Xenopus tropicalis: one gene and its partners. The protein of the gene in region 4 purifies or fractionates together with the protein of the main gene of each other region. This does not show direct contact. Links are inferred from orthologs where the notes say so. Each region holds a gene or a part of one and is shown on either strand. Other genes may lie near its edges.

What was found.
Region 1: the proteins of hdac3 (region 4) and atxn3 purify together in Homo sapiens (affinity purification with western blotting; 3 studies listed by BioGRID). This does not show direct contact. The link is inferred for Xenopus tropicalis from reciprocal best matches to the Homo sapiens genes HDAC3 and ATXN3.
Region 2: the proteins of hdac3 (region 4) and ski purify together in Homo sapiens (affinity purification with western blotting; 4 studies listed by BioGRID and IntAct, with this or other methods). This does not show direct contact. The link is inferred for Xenopus tropicalis from reciprocal best matches to the Homo sapiens genes HDAC3 and SKI.
Region 3: the proteins of hdac3 (region 4) and runx1 purify together in Homo sapiens (affinity purification with western blotting; 3 studies listed by BioGRID). This does not show direct contact. The link is inferred for Xenopus tropicalis from reciprocal best matches to the Homo sapiens genes HDAC3 and RUNX1.
Region 5: the proteins of hdac3 (region 4) and ccnd1 purify together in Homo sapiens (affinity purification with western blotting; 5 studies listed by BioGRID and IntAct, with this or other methods). This does not show direct contact. The link is inferred for Xenopus tropicalis from reciprocal best matches to the Homo sapiens genes HDAC3 and CCND1.

The regions. Positions count from the first base shown.
Region 1 is NC_030684.2:87,324,587-87,328,798, forward strand, and holds the start of atxn3 (ataxin-3), read right to left. Parts: upstream 2,896-4,212; 5' UTR 2,891-2,895; coding exon 2,867-2,890; intron 2,860-2,866; exon of another isoform or gene 2,790-2,859; coding exon of another isoform or gene 2,784-2,789; exon of another isoform or gene 2,756-2,783; coding exon of another isoform or gene 2,732-2,755; intron 1-2,731. UniProt on the Homo sapiens protein: Deubiquitinating enzyme involved in protein homeostasis maintenance, transcription, cytoskeleton regulation, myogenesis and degradation of misfolded chaperone substrates.
Region 2 is NC_030683.2:91,195,474-91,199,112, forward strand, and holds part of ski (ski oncogene), read right to left. Parts: intron 3,562-3,639; coding exon 3,442-3,561; intron 2,284-3,441; coding exon 2,168-2,283; intron 1,989-2,167; coding exon 1,717-1,988; intron 1,130-1,716; coding exon 828-1,129; intron 21-827; coding exon 1-20. UniProt on the Homo sapiens protein: May play a role in terminal differentiation of skeletal muscle cells but not in the determination of cells to the myogenic lineage. Functions as a repressor of TGF-beta signaling.
Region 3 is NC_030678.2:13,923,621-13,927,259, reverse strand, and holds part of runx1 (runt-related transcription factor 1), read right to left. Parts: intron 207-3,639; coding exon 102-206; intron 1-101.
Region 4 is NC_030679.2:27,765,717-27,770,104, forward strand, and holds the start of hdac3 (histone deacetylase 3), read right to left. Parts: upstream 2,805-4,388; 5' UTR 2,587-2,804; coding exon 2,532-2,586; intron 829-2,531; coding exon 746-828; intron 1-745. UniProt on the Homo sapiens protein: Histone deacetylase that catalyzes the deacetylation of lysine residues on the N-terminal part of the core histones (H2A, H2B, H3 and H4), and some other non-histone substrates.
Region 5 is NC_030680.2:14,443,334-14,446,972, reverse strand, and holds part of ccnd1 (G1/S-specific cyclin-D1), read right to left. Parts: coding exon 3,481-3,639; intron 1-3,480. UniProt on the Homo sapiens protein: Regulatory component of the cyclin D1-CDK4 (DC) complex that phosphorylates and inhibits members of the retinoblastoma (RB) protein family including RB1 and regulates the cell-cycle during G(1)/S transition.

The DNA of each region.
Region 1 (4,212 bases), on a different chromosome or scaffold from region 4:
CTAAATATGAACCCCAGGGGGCTAATGAACAGTTTGATGCCCACTGTACATAGGTTTATCAAAGCACATGGCACTTAGAGACCCCAAAATATACCTTGTGCACACTAATTTCATGGCTTACCTTTACCTAATTCATAAACACATGGCAGTTTTATGTGGGGTAAAAGCTGCAGAAATGTAGGGTGACCCCTGAAAACCACATATTTTTGGAAAGTACACAATCTGACAAATCCAAAAAGGTTAAAGAGTCTTTTTTTACACCAAAGTACCAATCTGCAAAGCTCTCCTAAATTTAGTGGTTTTTATGACTTTTCTGAAAAATGTTTAAAAATGTTGCAATTTGCCACATCTCAATACAATTTCTTGCTAAAGTATGTTGGATGTATAGACCCTAAATGAAAATAGTGCATATGAATTTTCCCTGAATTTGCATTACATTACATTCTCATATAAGGCTATGGAAAAACATATGGAAAAACACAGAGAATTGGCCCCTTCACTGGCATCTTCTTCCCTGCGCCCGGTACCACTGCTTTGTCCAGGGTGCGCACACGTGTCAGTTCCTAAATGCATACTCACACATTTCAGAGCTGAAATCCACTGCGTGTGTGCACTCTGTACATAGCAGTGGTACCGGGCACAGGCAAGTAAGAAGGCTGATGCCAGTGAAGGGGCTGATTCTTGGTCTTCGTTCAGACAATCCAGCCCTGCGTAGCAGTAGCCTTAGTGTAACACTTGGCCAACCCTGTACCATACCAAACAGTAATTAATTACTTGACCTTGGTAACTCCCCTCAGGGTTCAGAGCAGGAATTACAACCACAAACACAGATTTGGGAAAAAACATTTACAAATCTGAAGTTTATTTTTTTTAGGCAAATGTTACACAACAGAGGTTATTTTTCCCATGTGAGGTTGCATACGCAGTTGGCCCATTGTAAGGGTTTCTTTGCACACACACACACACACACTCTCTCACTCTCTCTCACAGAAAGACACACATAGATTCACGGACTGACACACACAGATATACCCACACACGTACATATACACAGATTTACCCACACACACAGATTTACCCACACACAGATTTACCCACACACACACACACAGATTTACCCCCCCCCACACACACACACACACACAGATTTACCCACACACACAGATTTACCCACACACACACACACACACACAGATTTACCCCCCCCCCCCCCCCCACACACACACACACACACAGATACATACAAATATACCCACACACACACACAGATACATACAAATATACCCACACACACACACAGATACATACAAATATACCCACACACACACACAGATACATACAAATATACCCACACACACACACAGATACACACAAATATACAAACACACACACTGATAATGATACACATACACACAAACACCCAGAGATATACAACTCTCCCCTCTCCCAAAAGGCACCTAAAGGCAGCAACTTTAGCTCTGTCCCTTCTCTGAAATCTTCACAGAAAACTCCTGCTCTCTCCTGACCCCGCCCCCTCCCAACAGCGTGTGCATTACAAACCAGCATTGGTAGGTCACTGCTGCAAAAGGCTCCTCTCTCCGTTCAGGGACAGATTTCTGCAAAACTCCTGCCTCTACCTCAACTTCCCCCTTCCCCCGACTGTGTCAGAAGTAGTTCCCCCCCCCTTCACAGCACATGCTTTTAGCTGAGCAGTGAGACACGCTGATGTCCCAGTTTGAATGCCCTGTATGTAATATTCACCAGCCACTGATTTACTTCTTACAAACCTTTCTAGGGAGAGGGCACTGCAAAAGGAGAGAGCAGGCAGGAGTTTTGCATTCAAACGGAGCCTCTGAAGCCATTGAACTACTGATGCTGGCTTTCCTTAGCTCCAGATTGACAGCACTGGCGGCCAATGAGAGAAAGGCATACCTGTCAGTTAGCTAAACCCGACTCCGACTTCATAGCAGGCTAGGAGCAGGGCTGAGAGAAGCAGCTGCTAGAGGGAGCACTGTGAAAACTGATATATATTAAAAACTGTATAAAATTTTTAATACATTATATTTAGAGACTTTCATAACTTTATGTGATGATTCATTTTAATGATTATTAATTTCACGATAGTTCCCCTTTAAGGGGTATATGCAAGGGGTATATATGTGAAGCATTACCGGTGATGTTGCCCAGGGCAACCAATCAGCAATTAGATTTCCACAGTCAGAAAACCAAAGCATCTAATTGGCTGCTATAAGCAACATCACCAGTAATGTTTCACTCTACTTTTAACACAGCATGTAAATATACCCCAAACTGATCAAGCTGTTTCAGGTAGAAAAAAACCAACTCTGTAAAAAAATTGTTGCCAAGTAAAATACAATATTAACAGTTTTATGACAGAAGAAAATGTAACAGTGGTATACCCTTGCCAGTCATCAATTTACAAATAAAATATACAGTACAGTTTTTCTGGGGTGCACCACTACAGAACATGGTATGAAATTTGGAAACTTATGCCACGTTTTAATTACTGCTGATGGGCAGCCTGGATATTCATACATTACTTTCAGCATCCCTACTGCCTCTGTTCAAAAAAGGATAAGGCTGCAACAGCCAGTGCATACCACTGAAAGGTATGAATTAGATTTCCTGGCTATACCCCGGTTTCCCACTTTCCAATGAATTTCCTTGCTGTCCCTGCTGAGCGTTCATAGCATAAAAAGTCTCGACTCACAGTCAGGAAATAAAGCGTAACCATCTAGTTCATATCTTATATGCCATACTACCAGCATGACGGTGATCCAGAAGATGATTCCAATTCTTTACCATGTGGCGCAATAAAACCATATTCAGAATTGGCTGAACTTACTTTCTCATGAAAGATAACCTCCATGTTTGTTTGCCTCTGCTTCCAGACACACCCCCCGAGGCTTACGTCTATACGAGTCGGAAGTTTCACTTCCAATAGATTAGGCGCTACCCAATCATGTGATTAGTGCGGAAGATGCTCGTCAGCTGACCATTTTTGTCACGTGATTCTTTATGCGTGACTTCCGTAATGGATTTGGGTGAAGAGTCTTGTTTGTATTATTGATAGGTATTAGAAATTGACGAAGAGTTAATTCTCAGAGTGGTGATAGCGACTACCGAAATATGTATTAGGAAATATACTAAGTAAAAAAATACTGGAGTCTGAATGGTTAACACTTAAGTCTTAGGACTATATTTAAATGACAAAAATAGAGCTAAACATTTTTAGATTTTGCAAGCAGAAGAATGTTAAATGTGCTGTGCGTTAAAAACACTACAATGGTTTCCATAAATGGCTGATTTGTAACCAAATAGGCAGCCTTCAGTTTAAATAGGGCAAAAAGGCATGTGTTTATATATTAATAAAATAGTAATAGAAAATAACAGCTACGGTGTGTAAATACAGGTTCTTACAGAAGGACATTCATTTTGGCATTTAACTGCCAATAGATTTGCTACATTAGTGCTACCTTTCCAGTTTTGAGCCAGACAGGCCCAGGCCCAAATGAGGAAAACCAGGCACAACTCAGTAACATTGACAAGGTGGCCATAGCCCTGCGACAGCACAGCTCCGCCTCCTCCCAGCCCCAGTGATATCACCCCCGCCCGGCTAAGAAAGCTGGCAGAGGTGGCAACCCTAGTGCCACCAAGAACGTTACACCTAGAATGCCATACCTGAGTAAAGTGCTAGAAGCTCCCTCCGTTTGTTTAAGATTGCAGCTGTCGTTTTAGCTTGGTCTTCATAGCTTCCTGCTGCAGCTTTAGAGGCTGGTAGCTCAGATTACACATTACTTAGGGAGGGGCAAGTGAGTTTTATGAATTCTTAAAGGAACAGTAACATCAAAAAATTAAAGTGTTTTAAAGTAATTAAAATATAATGTGCTGTTGCTCTGCAAAAAACTGGTGTTTTTGCTACAGAAAAGCTAATATATAATAAGCTGCTGTGTAGCCATGGGGGCAGCCATTCAAGCTGGAAAAAAGGAGAAAAGGCACAGGTTACATAGCAGATAACAGATAAGTTCTGTAGAATACAATAGTGTTTTATCTGTTATCTGCTATGTGCCTGTGCCTTTTCTCCTTTGAATGGCTTCCTCCATGGCTACATAGCAGCTTACTTATATAAGCTATAGTAGTCTTTCTGAGGCAAACACACCAGTTGTAGCAATGCAGGGCAACAGTACATTA
Region 2 (3,639 bases), on a different chromosome or scaffold from region 4:
ACTCGCAGGAACTCCAACTCCTGCAGCAAGAAAAAAAAAATCAAGAATATAATTAGTACTGATCTATGATCAATGCAGTGCAAAGAATCGATTGCTTGACTTTGACAGTAATATTATATGAGAGATTTTAGATTAGATTGAAACACAAAATACATATGCATAGTTAATAAATCTTTAGGTAAGTGCCATAAAAAATAAGCACAGAGGAAGATCTTTTAGAAAACGCATCCAACATTTTAACTTGCCCTAATGCTATTGAGTAGTTAGACAGGAATTCTGCACATACAAAACATGTTTGCAGTTGAATACAAATGCATTATAAGCTTCTATAGTTCCTAGTTGGTATTGTTGTTGTTATAAAGATTGACAGAATGACATATGGGGGTGGAGGACTGGACCAGAAGTGACACTTCCCCTCTCGCTCAGATACCAGCATGCACAACAACATATTTCTGTTAAGCAACACCCTGCAACTAGGTCATGGGAAATCCTTTTCCCTTGCAATAATCTCACTTCCCAGCCAAGCCATTGTTAGTTCTGCAGCAGCGCTGACTTTCTCTTGACCAGAATTAGAAACTCAGAAACACAGGGAAGGAAACAACCATGATTCATCTCGGTTGATGGCAAAGAGCAAAGCTGCCTCCTGTCTGAAGTACAATTATCATCTAGCAGCTGGAGAAAAATATTAATTCCCCTGTAAGTTCCCATGATTTATGGAGAGTATTTTATCTTTGAGGCTTCTCCAATGATAGGGCAATTCTAAGTAGTGTCTATATTTTGGCAACAGCACTACAAAATGCCTTCCAGTGTTTGCAATGTGGCATTACCTGCTGAAGGCTTCTCTTGGCCTGTAAAGCAGCATTGAGTTTCTCTTCTTGTTTTACTCGCATTTTTACAACTTCATGGAGGAATTTTTCTTTGGCTTCCTTGGAATCTAGACCACTGTCCAGGGCTTGCCTTAGGTGCTCCAGTTCAGCTTCCAATCCACTGCTGTGTTGGTCACTGTGAGAAGCCACCTCATAAGATGTATTGATCACAGTTGGTGCTAGCATGCCTGGGGAACTTAATTCCTTGGCTGAACTTGAGGATGTAAAGGAGGGAGACGAGAGCGAAGACAAGGAAGAGGTAACTATATGGAGGGGAACATAAGAAATATAGTAAGTATTTTGTAGGCCTCCTAAAAACAGCTACATTAAAAATAGTATAACTTCATATTTGTGCACCCAATAACATTCATTAGCAAGAAGATTTAAGACACATTGCAATCCTGACATGGAATATTTTTCTATTTCCTTATACAGCCAGGTACTAAAACTGTTCATACTCATCCAAAGAATATTCTCTGCAGTTCTCTGAAGCATATTCCCACAAACTGAAGCTATTTATCCATGAACCGAAACCCAGACATAGGTCAAGCTTTCTACTTTTTCTTAACAGACATTGTTTTTATCTGCCTCAATATAATAACATGGACAATAAATTACATCAGAGCTCTTAACTGCTGCTTGGGGTGATCATGGTTAAATAATCCAATAGGATATCAAGTAAAAACAAAACATAATTCTTACACATCAGAAAAACAAATTTCTATCCTGCATAAGCACTAGCAACTTATTTCATTGCATCTCCACAATACTACGTAAAAAATAGCAATTTAACATAGAAAGGAAAAAATATTAGCTTTAAGCACTTCAATACAAAAAAATTTCAACTCACACATACATTCTTCTCTGCTTTCCACTTCAATTTCTGTTTCAGACTCTTTCTCTTCTTCTCTGATTGGTGCTGGTGGTGCTGGCGCCTCTGGAGCTATGGGCAGTTCTGCAGTAGGCCTCCGTTTCCTGGACTGGGGCGGACTGCCTGATGACTGAGTGCTTCTGGGTACAGCAGGTACACATGGGGGGCTTGTAATCACTTTTTGTTGAACAGGAGGTGCCAGGGCAACATTTGGGGCAACCAGATTTTCAAAGCTCTTATAATTATAAAAACTGTAAAAAAAAAAAAAAATATAAATATATTTGAAGTTACCAAACTGGAAAAAAAAATGGTTTCCAAAACTTGTATCAAACAAGGATCCCCTTAATATTATAGAAACAAACAACAGCCTCCTTGCTGATATGATCAGTATACTGACTATAGGTAATGTTCAGATAAGCCATGGTGTTACCTGTCTCTAATCAGAGCTGGCAGGTGAGCAGACAACTCTTTGTCGTTTGCTGAAATGGCGGGGGACCAAGGCCGGAAAGCAGACAGACGCTGACGTGGATGTACATATCCCGTGTTCTATAATCAATACATAGAAAAAAACTTTAGGTCAAAACTATCCCAAAACACAATCTAAGATTATCATCTGTAACAGAGAAACTATTATACAATGGTCAACTTGGTTTCAAAGACTACATAAATTGTAGCACAGAGAATCATTGCAGAACAAAGTAACAGAAAATAGAAATTAGTTTACAGAAAGCAATATTTCCAACAATATACTTGCATTAATATGGATATTTTTCAATGAAAACTGAGAACTTACATTCCATATAATTATTCAACCTTTGCATTATTAAGTACAGCAATTTGCCTAGCCAACAAGACACTGAGCTGGCTCTTCATATCAGTTTTTAATTATGATACACATCAATAACAACATCTCTGTGGTATACTACTGACAACTCCTTTAGTCATTGTTACTACACAGTGTACGCTATACTTTTGCATTTATACAGAGAATGTTTTTTTTTGGCTTGTTTCTTTTTTAAAGTGTAATCTATGTAGGGGGAGAAAATAAGACAAAGTATTTTTTTCCCTTAAAGCCAGGTGTGCAATCTAGATGTCATCTATGACATTAAGCTTGCTTCTGTGGGAAGCAAACTTTTAAACTGCTTGAGTCACCCATTTGATTTTATTCTAACTAAATAAAGATAATTAGAAAAGATTAATACTATTTAGGTGTAAACTGTCAGTTGTAACAGGGTCTTGTATTAATCACTGAAGTGCAAACCTGAAAAGAATCTAGTTTATGAAAACATTGTTCTCCGACTTCCCCTCTCATCAATCCTGCTACACATGCCTCAGTCACTCCTTAGGTTGTCATATTGGACCTTATTGCCTAGCAACTTTTATTGGAAACGATGAGCTGGAATAAATGTAAAGCCAAATAATATTTATTGGCAGGGAACAAATGTAAGTTCCAAGAGTGATGATATGACCGTGACTGTGGAGTTTGCAGTGTCCCTAAGTCGTTGGCGATCCACTTACTTCATTCTTATATAGGCTAAACATTTCAACAGAACAGAAAATACACAAATACATGTATATGAAAACAATGTGTGTAGAAAGTACACATAGCACAGCAGAATAGATTTTTCATCTATTTGTCAAAGAAATATGTTGTTTCCCTACATGTGCCAACATGAGTTTTGAGATAGGGTATGACTGAGGTACCTTGTTGTTATTGGACAGGTTCCGTAGCCAACTGGATGACTTGTCTTTTTCAGCAGAGCTAGGGGAATGGATGATGGAGTCATCAGCCTTGGGTTTTTTGGCAACAGGCTCAGAGGAAATCTAAAAGAAAATAGTCATCTTATTAGATTTGTGGACTGTAAATTTCCCATTATTTAACAGATAATAAGCTCTAAGACC
Region 3 (3,639 bases), on a different chromosome or scaffold from region 4:
TATATATATATATATATATATATATATATATATATATATATATATATATATAAGTGGGATAGATACGATTTTAATCAGCAGAGTAAAGAAATATCACTTACGTCTTGGCTCTCGAGGTCCATCCACAGTGATCTTAATGGCACGATGGTAGGTAGCGACCTGCGGGGGATTGGTGAAGACGGTGATAGTCAGGGTGAAGCTTTTTCCTAAAATACAAACAGAATTTAACAGGTTAATCCACTCGTCTGACTCAACAAGATTGATTTGCAGTTATGAAAGCAAAGCACTCTTTCCTATATAAAGGGGAAGTTAATCATAAAATACACTTTCAGAATTAAGTAAACCAAGAATATATCTGACCCCCTAGATGTCGTTGCCCTCCAGAGTTGTATCCCATAGCAAACAATCAGACTTTCTTTTTTATTATTCTTATTACTATAAGATAACACCCGAGTGATTGCTATGGGTTACTAGACTTTATACTCTAGAACAGCAGCTACAACTCCCAGCAGGCTGAGCTTGGAAACCAGTTCAGATGAGTGAAGCATCAGTTTTCTTTGCACCCAGATGAGGTGCCAAGTCTCTTAATGTAAAACATGTTCCTCCTAATAAAATTGATTAATGGATTAATTGCAGAGATGTAAATGCACACAGCAGTACGGACATGTGGCGCCTTAACTGAGCAGAGCAATGAATTATTAGAGGATGGGTTAACGTGTAGACGGCAGATTAGTCAGGGAGCAGGTTATGCTGGTTAAACACAGCCCGCGGTGGGAGGGAATGAAGCATTTATAGAAATGCAGATAACACAACTGTACTCAGTGCTGTTTCCAGAGCTGGGGTTAGAGGTACAGGCAGGAGGGCCCCCAACCTAACAGAAAAAAATCCATAAATTAAATAGGGTTGCCAGCTCAAACTTTTTAAAATCTGACATACTGTATACAGGTATTGGACCTGTTATCCAGAATGCTCGAGACCCGGGGTTTTCCGGATAAGGGGGTCTTTCCATAATTCGGATCTCTTTTAAAAAGTAATTAAACCCAACAGGATTATTTATATCTTAGTTGGGAACAAGTACAAGCTACCATCTTATTATAATACAGTAAAAAGACAATAATTTTTAAAGACTGAAATTGACTCTATGGGACATAGCCTTTCCATAATTCGGAACTTTTTGGATAATGGGTTTCCCTGTACAACCAAATCCAACAGGCAGTTTATTGAAATATATAATATGTGCATGCATAAAAGCCCTTGCAGTCTGCAGCGGTCCTGCAGCTGTTGCTGAACTACAACTTCCAAGTGCAGAGGCTGCCAGGGGCTGCTGGAAGTTGCAGTTTAGCAAAGGACCATACCGGCCAGGGGTAGTACAAGGAATTACATAGAAATCCAGCGTCCCAAACGGGTTCCCAGTAAGAGCAGGCAGAGCAGCACCGCCTAATATGCCCCAGTGAGCCATGGGTGCCTGGCATATTGTCCGTAACCTGATCCCCTGCCTAGCACACTGGGTGGAGGTGACAGAAATGGCGATGAAGACGGCAGAGATGTATCATGCCCCTGCTTGGTGGCAAGCCGCCAGTGCAAATGGATTATAAGCTAATGCCCGCTCTGAAAAAAGAAATGGTTGGATATCTGTGTGAATCATAAATATTTGCCTTTTCGGAAGGTTTATATAAAAGGGCTGGAAGGACTTTCACACTATTGATTTCATTTTCCCATGAAGTGCTTCACTACAAAGTGGTTTCACCCACGTGCTGGGACTTTCACACACTGGAATTATGGCTAGGAATTAAAGGGAAAGTAAGCAAGAAGGTGAGTTGTAATTATCAATGTCAGAACTGAAGGGGCGGCCCTGGGTGATGCCCCACCCACCCAAGCTCCAACCCCTTTCCATGACTCTCTGCTCTTTTTAAACTTTGGGCCTGGGTTGACCTTGTTGTAATCCGCAACTGTGTGGCTATGGCGTAATACCTCTGTTTTTCTCAGACCCATAGCTTGAATGAGCAAACTGGTGATTGGTTGCTAAGGGTTACTAGACCTGGCCTTGTTTTTTTCACTTTAATTCTTGGGCCAAGCTTGCTTTCCTAAAACCAGTGCAACACAGTCTTTTTACAGACTGACCTACAGCATATCCATCTGGCACAAATGACTTCCACATCATGCCAAGTGGAGAGAATGACAGGAAAAGTGACTGTCAACGAAGGAAAGAAAAAACCAATTCCCACAAACTGCCAGGGAAAGTCACATTACACCACCTACCCTTATTATGCAAAGTATACGAGTCAGATAAATTATTGAATACATTTACACTTGACACAATCTGCTTTCCATACAAACAACAGGGGACAGTAGGTGGAATTAAAGTCCTCGTACGGAACAAGTTGGGCCCTATTATAAAATCCTTAGGCCCAACCCTATGAGCGGCTGATTAGGCAACAGATTCCAAAGAAAGAGTGGATTGCCACACACATTAGGGCACACACCCACTGCTCCACTGCCTGCCCTGAGAACATCTGCTTTCCAGTAACCAGGAGCCAATTACTGGTTCCTAAGCAACTTTGCAGTTGGTCATCTTCATTTGATTTATTAGTCTTTTATTCCTGCAATAATTCTACCTGCTTCTTGGTTCTTTATTGTTATAAATTTAAATTGGTAACCTTTTTCCTCCTACTTAGCCAATTTATTGTTGCCAGGGTCATTTAGCCTAGTTACAAGTAGTATTCAGTGAGCCTAAAAAGGCATAGCTTGTGTGGCTGCCTGTGGTTTAAGCCTCAGCCCATGCACTAATATACATACATACAACACAGTAATTATCTCACTATAAACTTAAAAACAAGTTTAAAATGATAACACCTATTTTTTTTTAAAAAAAATTTGGGTATTTTCCATTAAAAAAATGATAGCAGGATTAATTCTATGTATTTACATTACAACTCACCCTGGCCCCAGGAGAGAGTACCTGTTCCAAGATAAGGGGTAATTAAAAGGCTTAAATTACATATTAGAACATTCTTGGGTGTACACATACGATCAGATGTTTGTGTTGCATGATATAGGGCTCTCTTGGTGGCAATATACCCTGTTCGGAATATTTATAATCCAGCCTGCGCCAGTTTTACTGAGCTCCAGCTAGCAGCATTGTATGGAGTTGTAGTTCAGCTGATAAAAAGCGTGTTTGCTCTGCTTATGGCATGGCTGAGAGGAATGGAGAAGCGTGCATAAATACAGTAACAAGCTGATAATGATCATAGTGGCGCAGAGCTGTAAATACAGGAATGCTCAGAAATAAAAGAGGATCCATCATCCCGTGGCACCTCCTAATTATTGGTGTGCCTCTGCAGGCAGACGACTCGATTAATGAGAGACTGCCGTCCTGAGACTCGCGAGCAGCAAGGGGGAGCGGTAACTCTGGCAAAGTTTCTCCCATTCCAGGAACCTGTAAGACTGTTTCTATATCAGACTAAGGGGTTCCTCAAGCACCAATATTGATCACTGATTGTAGGTGGTCATACAAGGGCCAATGTTAGCTGCTGAAATGGCCACTCCAGACAGTGTTGACAGCTTACTGGGCCAAACACCAGTGGTGCCTGAACAATAACCAGGAAATTCAGGGCCCACTCTTGCAACAATAAAGGTGGC
Region 4 (4,388 bases):
GTATGATGCTTTTAGTCAGAAGGACTTTGTTACCATAGTATATGGGCTCACTACCCAGATAACCAGAAGGACACTACTTTTGAAAACTTTCAATAAAAAAAGACTATATTTACATAAATGGAGGTCTGGGCGTAGTCTTAGTCTCCATTCATTATGACGTCACATGTTATATTTCCCCGGTAGCCTAGACAAAGGAGCAGGGTAGGCCCCACAAATTGCCACCTTATGTGTTTTTTAGAGCCAATAAGGCACCAACTTCATGCACAATTACCGGCTTATTTTTTGGGACTTGCTGTTTGACCCTTTGAAGCTGCTGGGCACAAACCTGATGTTCACATAAGGGACATCCTTTGCCATGGGGGTTGTAGCCAAATATAAAATATATTACTAATATTTACTTTGCAATTATTACTGTTGGTTTTCTACATATGCTTATTTTATATATTTAGGAACTATATTGAGACATTCCTTCTCAGCATATATCAATATAAATGTGGCAGCATGAGATACCATACTACTTACATTATTCATAAACAGCAATAGGACAATGCAATATATTTCAAACTGCTGTTTTATAAAGGACTAAGGAAAAAATATTTGTTAGGGTAAGAGTTAGGACAGCTTCCTTACTTATGTATATTACAAACATTCGGAGAAGAATGTTCTGTTAACAATTAGCATTTTACTTATGCCTTGCTATTTGTGTGAAAAAAAAAAAACTCTACACTCAAACTATTATACTTACAATCATCTTCTTATAAAGTCCATAGTGTAGAACCAGACTGTGTGTAAGGGATAATCGGTGAGGTTTCATGGGATGACCTGTGCCTGAATGATAATGCAAATATTAAGGATCGTATCTGGCAATAAATGCTAGGTTAGCATTTTAATGGTTGCAATTGTGATGTTCTGATTTTCCCTTAAAACAATTCCATATCAATCTTCTTGAATATAGGCTACAAATACATATAAAAAATGATGGACAAACATTGGCCACAACATAAACTCTGTATTGCAAAGTGCAATAGACACCATATTTCTGTCCCTACCACTTTCCATATGCTGTCATGTTATGTTCCCCAAATGTTCACCCACTGTTTTAGTGTTTCAGATGCTGGCAAATATGACAGAATGGTGTGCAGTCAATAGATGCAAAACTGTGTCTTTAAACAAACATTTGAAGGACAACTATATTTACAACAAACACATTCATTTGGTGACCCACTGAGAAATAGCATGACATGGTCACAAAGTGTTGCCACCTTACAGAATTTTGGGCCCAATAATGATTTTGAGCAAACCACTATCTGTACATGGCTCTGGTTTGATATTGCACTCCAAAAATGTTGTGAGCAGTCTCTATAAAGCACAGCAGAATATGTTGGTTTTTAACAGAAAAAAAAACACACAAAAGCCACAAATATCCTGTAAACTATATCTTTATAATTTACAGTTTGCCCATTTCCCTAATGGCCACACTGTGAATTATCCTTATAAACGGTGTGTATCTACATCAGTATACACCATTTATAACTTAAAGGCACAAGCACTGCTACCCCCCCCCACCCCACAAACACACACACACATCTCTGCATGGATCCATCACAGTTCCTAAGGATACTGCAACAGGAACACAGCCTGTAAAGAGGAAGGGTGAGGAATAGATGCAGGAGGGAGCGAGCTGCCAGACAAGGGAATATGCTGAATCAGCAGGTGGGTGAGAACTTTAAGAAGACCTAACTTAAACACCTAAGTGAGAAGAAGCAGTGGTCGAGGGGATATGGAAACTCCCAAAGAGAACAGAGGGAAGGGAGAGAAGGAATAGATGTAAAACTGGGGGGGCTGGAGGGAGTGGAGATCAAAGGGATACCCAGAAGCCAGCAGAGGGGGAATGGATGGTTGGATTTACTTAAAGGACTTAAAGGAGAAGGAAATGTAAAAAAGTGTCTTTTATCACGTATCTTTTACACGGGGTTGGTGCTTCTGTTAGAAGAAAACCACACCAGCCTGGGTAACTGCAGTGAATGTTTCCTCTTCCTTCTTTCTTTCTTTCTTTTGAATCCTGGGGCCCACTCATGCGCAGTAGAGTGAAAAAGCCGTCTTTTTTGTTAAAGTTCAGCTTTTCACTTTACGGCACATGAGCAAGCAGCACACAGACATAAGATGGATGAGGAGACACTCGCGGGCTGGTATGGTTTTCTTCTGACAGATTGGTAATTAGATGTAAAAACCAAAAGTATAAACAGTGTGCAGATACAGCTTTCCAATGCTATTACATCTACAAATAACGCTAAAATCATTTAAACAAAATTTGGGTTAAGTTGCCCTTTAAACTACTGCACTTCTCACTGATTTCAGGAATATTTTTTCTCAAGACGTGTCCTTTGTGCATCTGTGTAATGTATCTATATGCCAGTGCCTCTGCCAGTGCCTCTCCTCATGCATCTATCGGGATTCCTGTGTCAGTGTGCTATGTGTTTCTATAAAAACCCATCATTTGTTTGCCTTTACGTCTTTACACCAATACTTACCATAATGGAAGTTCCCCACGTCCGGATCGTAAAAATAAGCCACAGTCTTTGCCATAACGCTGTCAAAAGCAGACCTAAAACACCCAAGTACTCCCTACAGAACTAGCAGCAGCGCTTCCGGCAGCGCACAGGAAATACGTTTGCTCCTTTTTCTCTCAGCAGCCCTGCAGGGCCCCATACGTCACCAGTTGCTATGCGGATCTGAATCCATTCAGTAGTTTCCCGTATTGGGCTCTACCCCCAGAGGGCGTGTATCCCAAGCTTGGAATCCCAGCGTTCCGTGCAGTCGCTTAGTGACCTTAGTGTAAATAAGCAATGTTACTAATAAAGTCATTATTAGCATTATTAGTATCGCCAGTCTTTTCCATTATTTCCTATTCTGACCTGTATAGTCATTTCCACCGTTCTTAATACACGGAAGTTAGAGCACTTGAGCGTTTCATTACACTGTGTTCCTGAGACCGGTTGCTTAGTTGGTTTTTGTAGGAGGTCCATAAACCAACAGAAGCCGTAACTGAAGGGGCTGCGGAAAGTGGGGTGATTTCGCAATGGGCGGAAGTGGGGCAGAGTAAGAGTATGTAGATTGTAAGCTCTGCAGGACAGGGATCACAGGGCACTTACTCTCTATTTATACTTGTTTATTGTATTTATTATGACACTTGTCCTCCCTGTGTGTAACTATATATTGTAAGATTGTGCAGCGCTGCCTATCCTAGTAGCACTTTATAGATAAAGTTATACATACATAATGTGGCTGGCAGGAAGGATTATGGGTGTGGGCCTGTGCCCAGGCATGTTACTTAGTGGGGCATATTTGTTGGTGGGGCCTAAGTCTACTACTAGTTAGCGGCAGTTGGTGGGCAAAACAATGCGGTGCTTTGCGGGGAGGTCCTGCTGACTAAGCAGAAGAGGGCTCTAATATTGGTGGCCCTAACCAGAAGTGATGTGGCCAAGCACATGGCCTGCTATTAACCGGCCTCCCTAACTCCAATCTTTCCCCCGTACAGTCTATATTAAATACTGCTGCCAGAATTCTCCTCCTCTCATCCAGGAGAGTTCAGGCCCTTCCCCTGCTAAAGTCCTTATCGTGGCTTCCTATTAAACAAAGAATATCTTACAAACTCCTTCTAACCTTCAAAGCCCTCCATTCGTCTGCTCCTCACAACATCTCTTCCCTTGTGTCTCCGTACGTTCCTGGCCGACTCCTTCGTTCCTCGCAGAGCAATCGTTTGGTTGCGCCCCCCAATATTACTGCGGTTTCCCGCCTTAAACCTTTCTGCCTTGCTGCCCCTTACATTTGGAATGCCCTCCCTGATTTCCTCCGGAGAGAATCCTCCCCCAGTCTTTTTAAAACCAAACTAAAAGACTACCTTTTGGAGCACTCGCCCAGCACCTGTTCTGGGAACTAGCACTTATATTGTACTGTCACCCACTGTGACCTACAGCACTTATATTTGCCTATTTGTATCTGTAAGTTACCCTCCCATATAGATTGTAAGCTCTACGGGGCAGGGACCTCCATCCTCTTGTGTCTTTGACTCTTAACTTATTGCAACTGTAACTGTATCTTGTATTTATTTGTATTTATTGTTATACTTTGTATTTATCTATTATCTTATTAACCCCCTGTTTGTATTAATGTATTCTACTGTACAGCGCTGCCTACATAAGTAGCGCTTTATAAATAAAGATATACATACATACATACATGGCCACCCAGATTAGGAGCAATACACAAGAGAAGAAAACTAAACCCTCCCATTCACACATGAACTTACTGCTCATTCTTCTCAACACCTTCCCCTAAAATGCCACAAACTTTTGGTCCACACAGTGTCCCCCTAGACGCACACAAAT
Region 5 (3,639 bases), on a different chromosome or scaffold from region 4:
CTGGCAGAAATGTGATGACGGTGCAGCCAGGGCTGTAAACAAGAAAGGCACAGATCAAAGTACCGGCAGCATAACAAGGGGCCAACCTTTGCCCCCAACCCCTGCCTTCAGCAGGTTCACTGGTCAGAACAGCATAACGGGCAGGTCACGGCGCCAGGGTGGGGCACAGTAACTTCATCTCTGGCTGCGCCTCGGGCACAGGGACATAATGCAGAGCCTGGGCGCACAAAGGGTTAACTAACACACACAAGCAAAGGAGCCGGCTCCCATGGCTCCATGCCGGAACATTCCAGTGGGATCACTAGCACTACTCTAACCCACTGGGTCACCCACTGCCACCATGATGCCCTACTGTACCCATCATGCCCTACTGTACCCATCATACCCTACTGTACCCATCATGCACTACTGTACCCATCATGCCCTACTGTACCCATCATGCCCTACTGTACCCATCATGCCCTACTGCCTCCATCATACCCTATTGTATCCATCATGTACTACTGTACCCATCATGCCCTACTGCCACCATCATACCGTACTGTACCCATCATGCATTACTGTACCTATCACACCCTACTGTACCCATCATGCATTACTGTATCCATCATGCCATGCTGTACCTATCATGCCCTACTTTACCCATCATACCCTACCGTACCCATCATGCCCTACTGTACCCAAAATGCTCTACTTTACCCATCATGCCCTACTGTACCCATCATGCACTACTGTACCCAACATGCTCTACTTTACCCATCATACCCTACTGTACCCATCACGCCCTACTGTACCCAACATACTCTACTGTACCTATCATACCCTACTGTACCCATCATGCCCTACCGTACCCATCATGCCCTACTGTACCCATCATACCCTACTGTACCCATCATGCCCTACCGTACCCATCATGCCCTACTGTACCCATCATACCCTACTGTACCCATCCCGCCCTACTGTACCCAACATACTCTACTGTACCTATCATACCCTACTGTACCCATCATGCCCTACCGTACCCATCATGCCCTACTGTACCCATCATACCCTACTGTACCCATTATGCCCTACTGTGCCTATCATACCCTACTGTACCCATCATGCCCCACTGTACCCAACATGCCCTACTGTAACTATCAGACCCTACTGTACCCATCATGCCCTACTGTACCCATCATGCCCTACTGTACCCATCATGCACTACTGTACCCATCATGCACTACTGTACCCATCATACCCTACTGTACCCATCATGCCCTACTGTACCCATCATACCCTACTGTACCCATCATGCCCTACTGCAGGAGGCTCAAACTCAATTTACCTGGGGGCCGCAGGAGGCAAAGTCAGGATGAGGCTGGGCCGCATAAGGGATTTCACAAAAAATTGGCTTTCAAGGGATAATGCAAGGCACGGCGGGCGGGAGCTGCTGATTGCGGAAATGACGTTATGCCATCATAACAGTTATTATGGGAAGACGTTCTGTGTGCACAATTAGCTCTTCCCATAATAACTGTTATGATGGCATAACGTCATTTCCGCAATCAGCAGCTCCCGCCCGCCGTGCCTTGCATTATCCCTTGAATCGCAATAAAAATCGTGATCCATTCATTGCTTTTGAGAAGGCGTTGGTGCGCGCCACAAAATACTGTACCGAGGGCCGCAAATGGCCCGCGAGTTTGAGACCCCTGCCCTACTGTACCCATCATGCCCTACTGTACCTATCATGCCCTACTGTACCCAACATGCTCTACCGTACCCATCATGCCCTACTGTACCCATCATGCCCTATGTCCCCACTATTCCCACCTACAACTGCTCTTTGGAAAGGCCCAAAGCATCTGCCCTACTGGCACATCCCCAAGGGCAGCTGTGAAGAAAGTCACCTTTGGTCACCTCCAGACCATGCCACACACTCCCTATCTGAGCAATCCGATTGCAGGGAATGGTTACAGTGTTGTTTGTCATAACAATGATTAAAGGTTACCGAGTATCAGGATTCCTTGGCCACAATGTAGCATTTATTGCTCCTATAAAGGAAACCAAGGCAGAGGGCATGGCATACAGTGCCAGCAGATCCAATGAGACCGCTGTGTGAAAGCTGCCATATTGCTTGCCCAGTGGGGGGTATATCAGGCCATGCCAGAGTTATAGTTGTGCCAGCTCTGGCTTTGCAGAACTAAAGCGAGATCCAACTGGGCTCACAGTGCCCCCCCCCCCCCCCCGTGAGTAACCCATGCCAACCAACACCAGAGCCAGTGTGGCACAATATGGGCATAAGCACCCACCACAGCCACAGTAACCATCTACAGTACTTTAGCATAGGGATAGGGAAAGCGCCTATTTGGAGCGGGTACATTACAAGAAGAAATGGGCCCAGCCTGGGTTCCTCCCACTAAGCAGACAGCAGGAGGCCCCACAGAGCATGGATCAGGGCTATGGGAGAGCCTTTCCCCCCCAAACGCGCCTCCAGCGCACAGCACAAAGCCTGAGCCGAAGACGTCAGCAGTGGGTGTTGGTTTCCCTGACACTGGGAGAAGTGTTTGCGGTTCTGCTCAGAGGGGCCCGGTGCTGACTGGCAGTGCCCAAATGACACGCTTGGCTGAAGCCAGGCAGCTCTTAATGGCCGGGCTTGTGTTGCACAGATGCTGCTTTGGGCATGATGTCCCCAGCACACAAAAGCCGCAGCGTGCTTCTCTCATGCCAATTATACATCAATTAAACACAACCAAGCTGCAGCCCCCCATACCCCTATATGCCGGGGGGGGGGAGCAACACATTATACAGTGTTCAACGGTAAATTCTGAAAACATTAACTTCCCTTCCAGGGCAAAAATTTGTACACCCCTAAGGGACAGACATCCTTCCAAAGAGAAAGCAATATGGCAGCTCCCAATACCTCCTGAGCAGCCCACATTTTCTACACACTCCAGCCACTAGAGGCCGCTGTTCCCCTGAGGTTAATGGAGATAAAGGACCAGCATGGCAGCTGCAGGGAGCTTTCTGGGCCCCTCTTTCTTAACCCAGGGTCCCTCCATGTTGCTGGACTACAACTGCCAGCTTTCTTCACCCTATAGCCAAGCATGCTGGGAGTTGTAGTCCAACAACATGCTGAGGATTCTGAGAAGGCTATTTAAATAGCAGCTTGTGCTTAAACTAACAGAAGATAAATGCACAAATCCAGCCTTGAGTTGGCGGCCAACGATCTATAGAGCTCTGTGATGGCTCAGGGTGCCGGGGAAATATAAACTCAGCTGCATGTTATTCCATGGAACCTGTTGCAGACAGTCAGGCTTTTGTACAAAGGCTGCGGCGTTTCCAACTTACCTCGGAGAGAGCACAGGGCACCCCTCTGCCAGTAATCCACCTTGTACCAACACAGGGCAGCTGTGCCCGGGGGGAAGGGGGCGCTCTGCATTAACAGTAAGTGAGCTTACAAGTATGTTTGGCACCAGCGACAGAACATAGCACCCATACCTGTAGCGCAGAGGGCAACAAATGTCTGGGCGTGTTTGCGGATGATCTGCTTGGTATCCTCAGTCAGTGGCATTTTGTTTAGAAAATGTTCAATAAAGTCATGGGGGGTCACAGAGGCCAAGTCCCATTTCAACTTGTTCAGAATCAGCAGTTCCATTA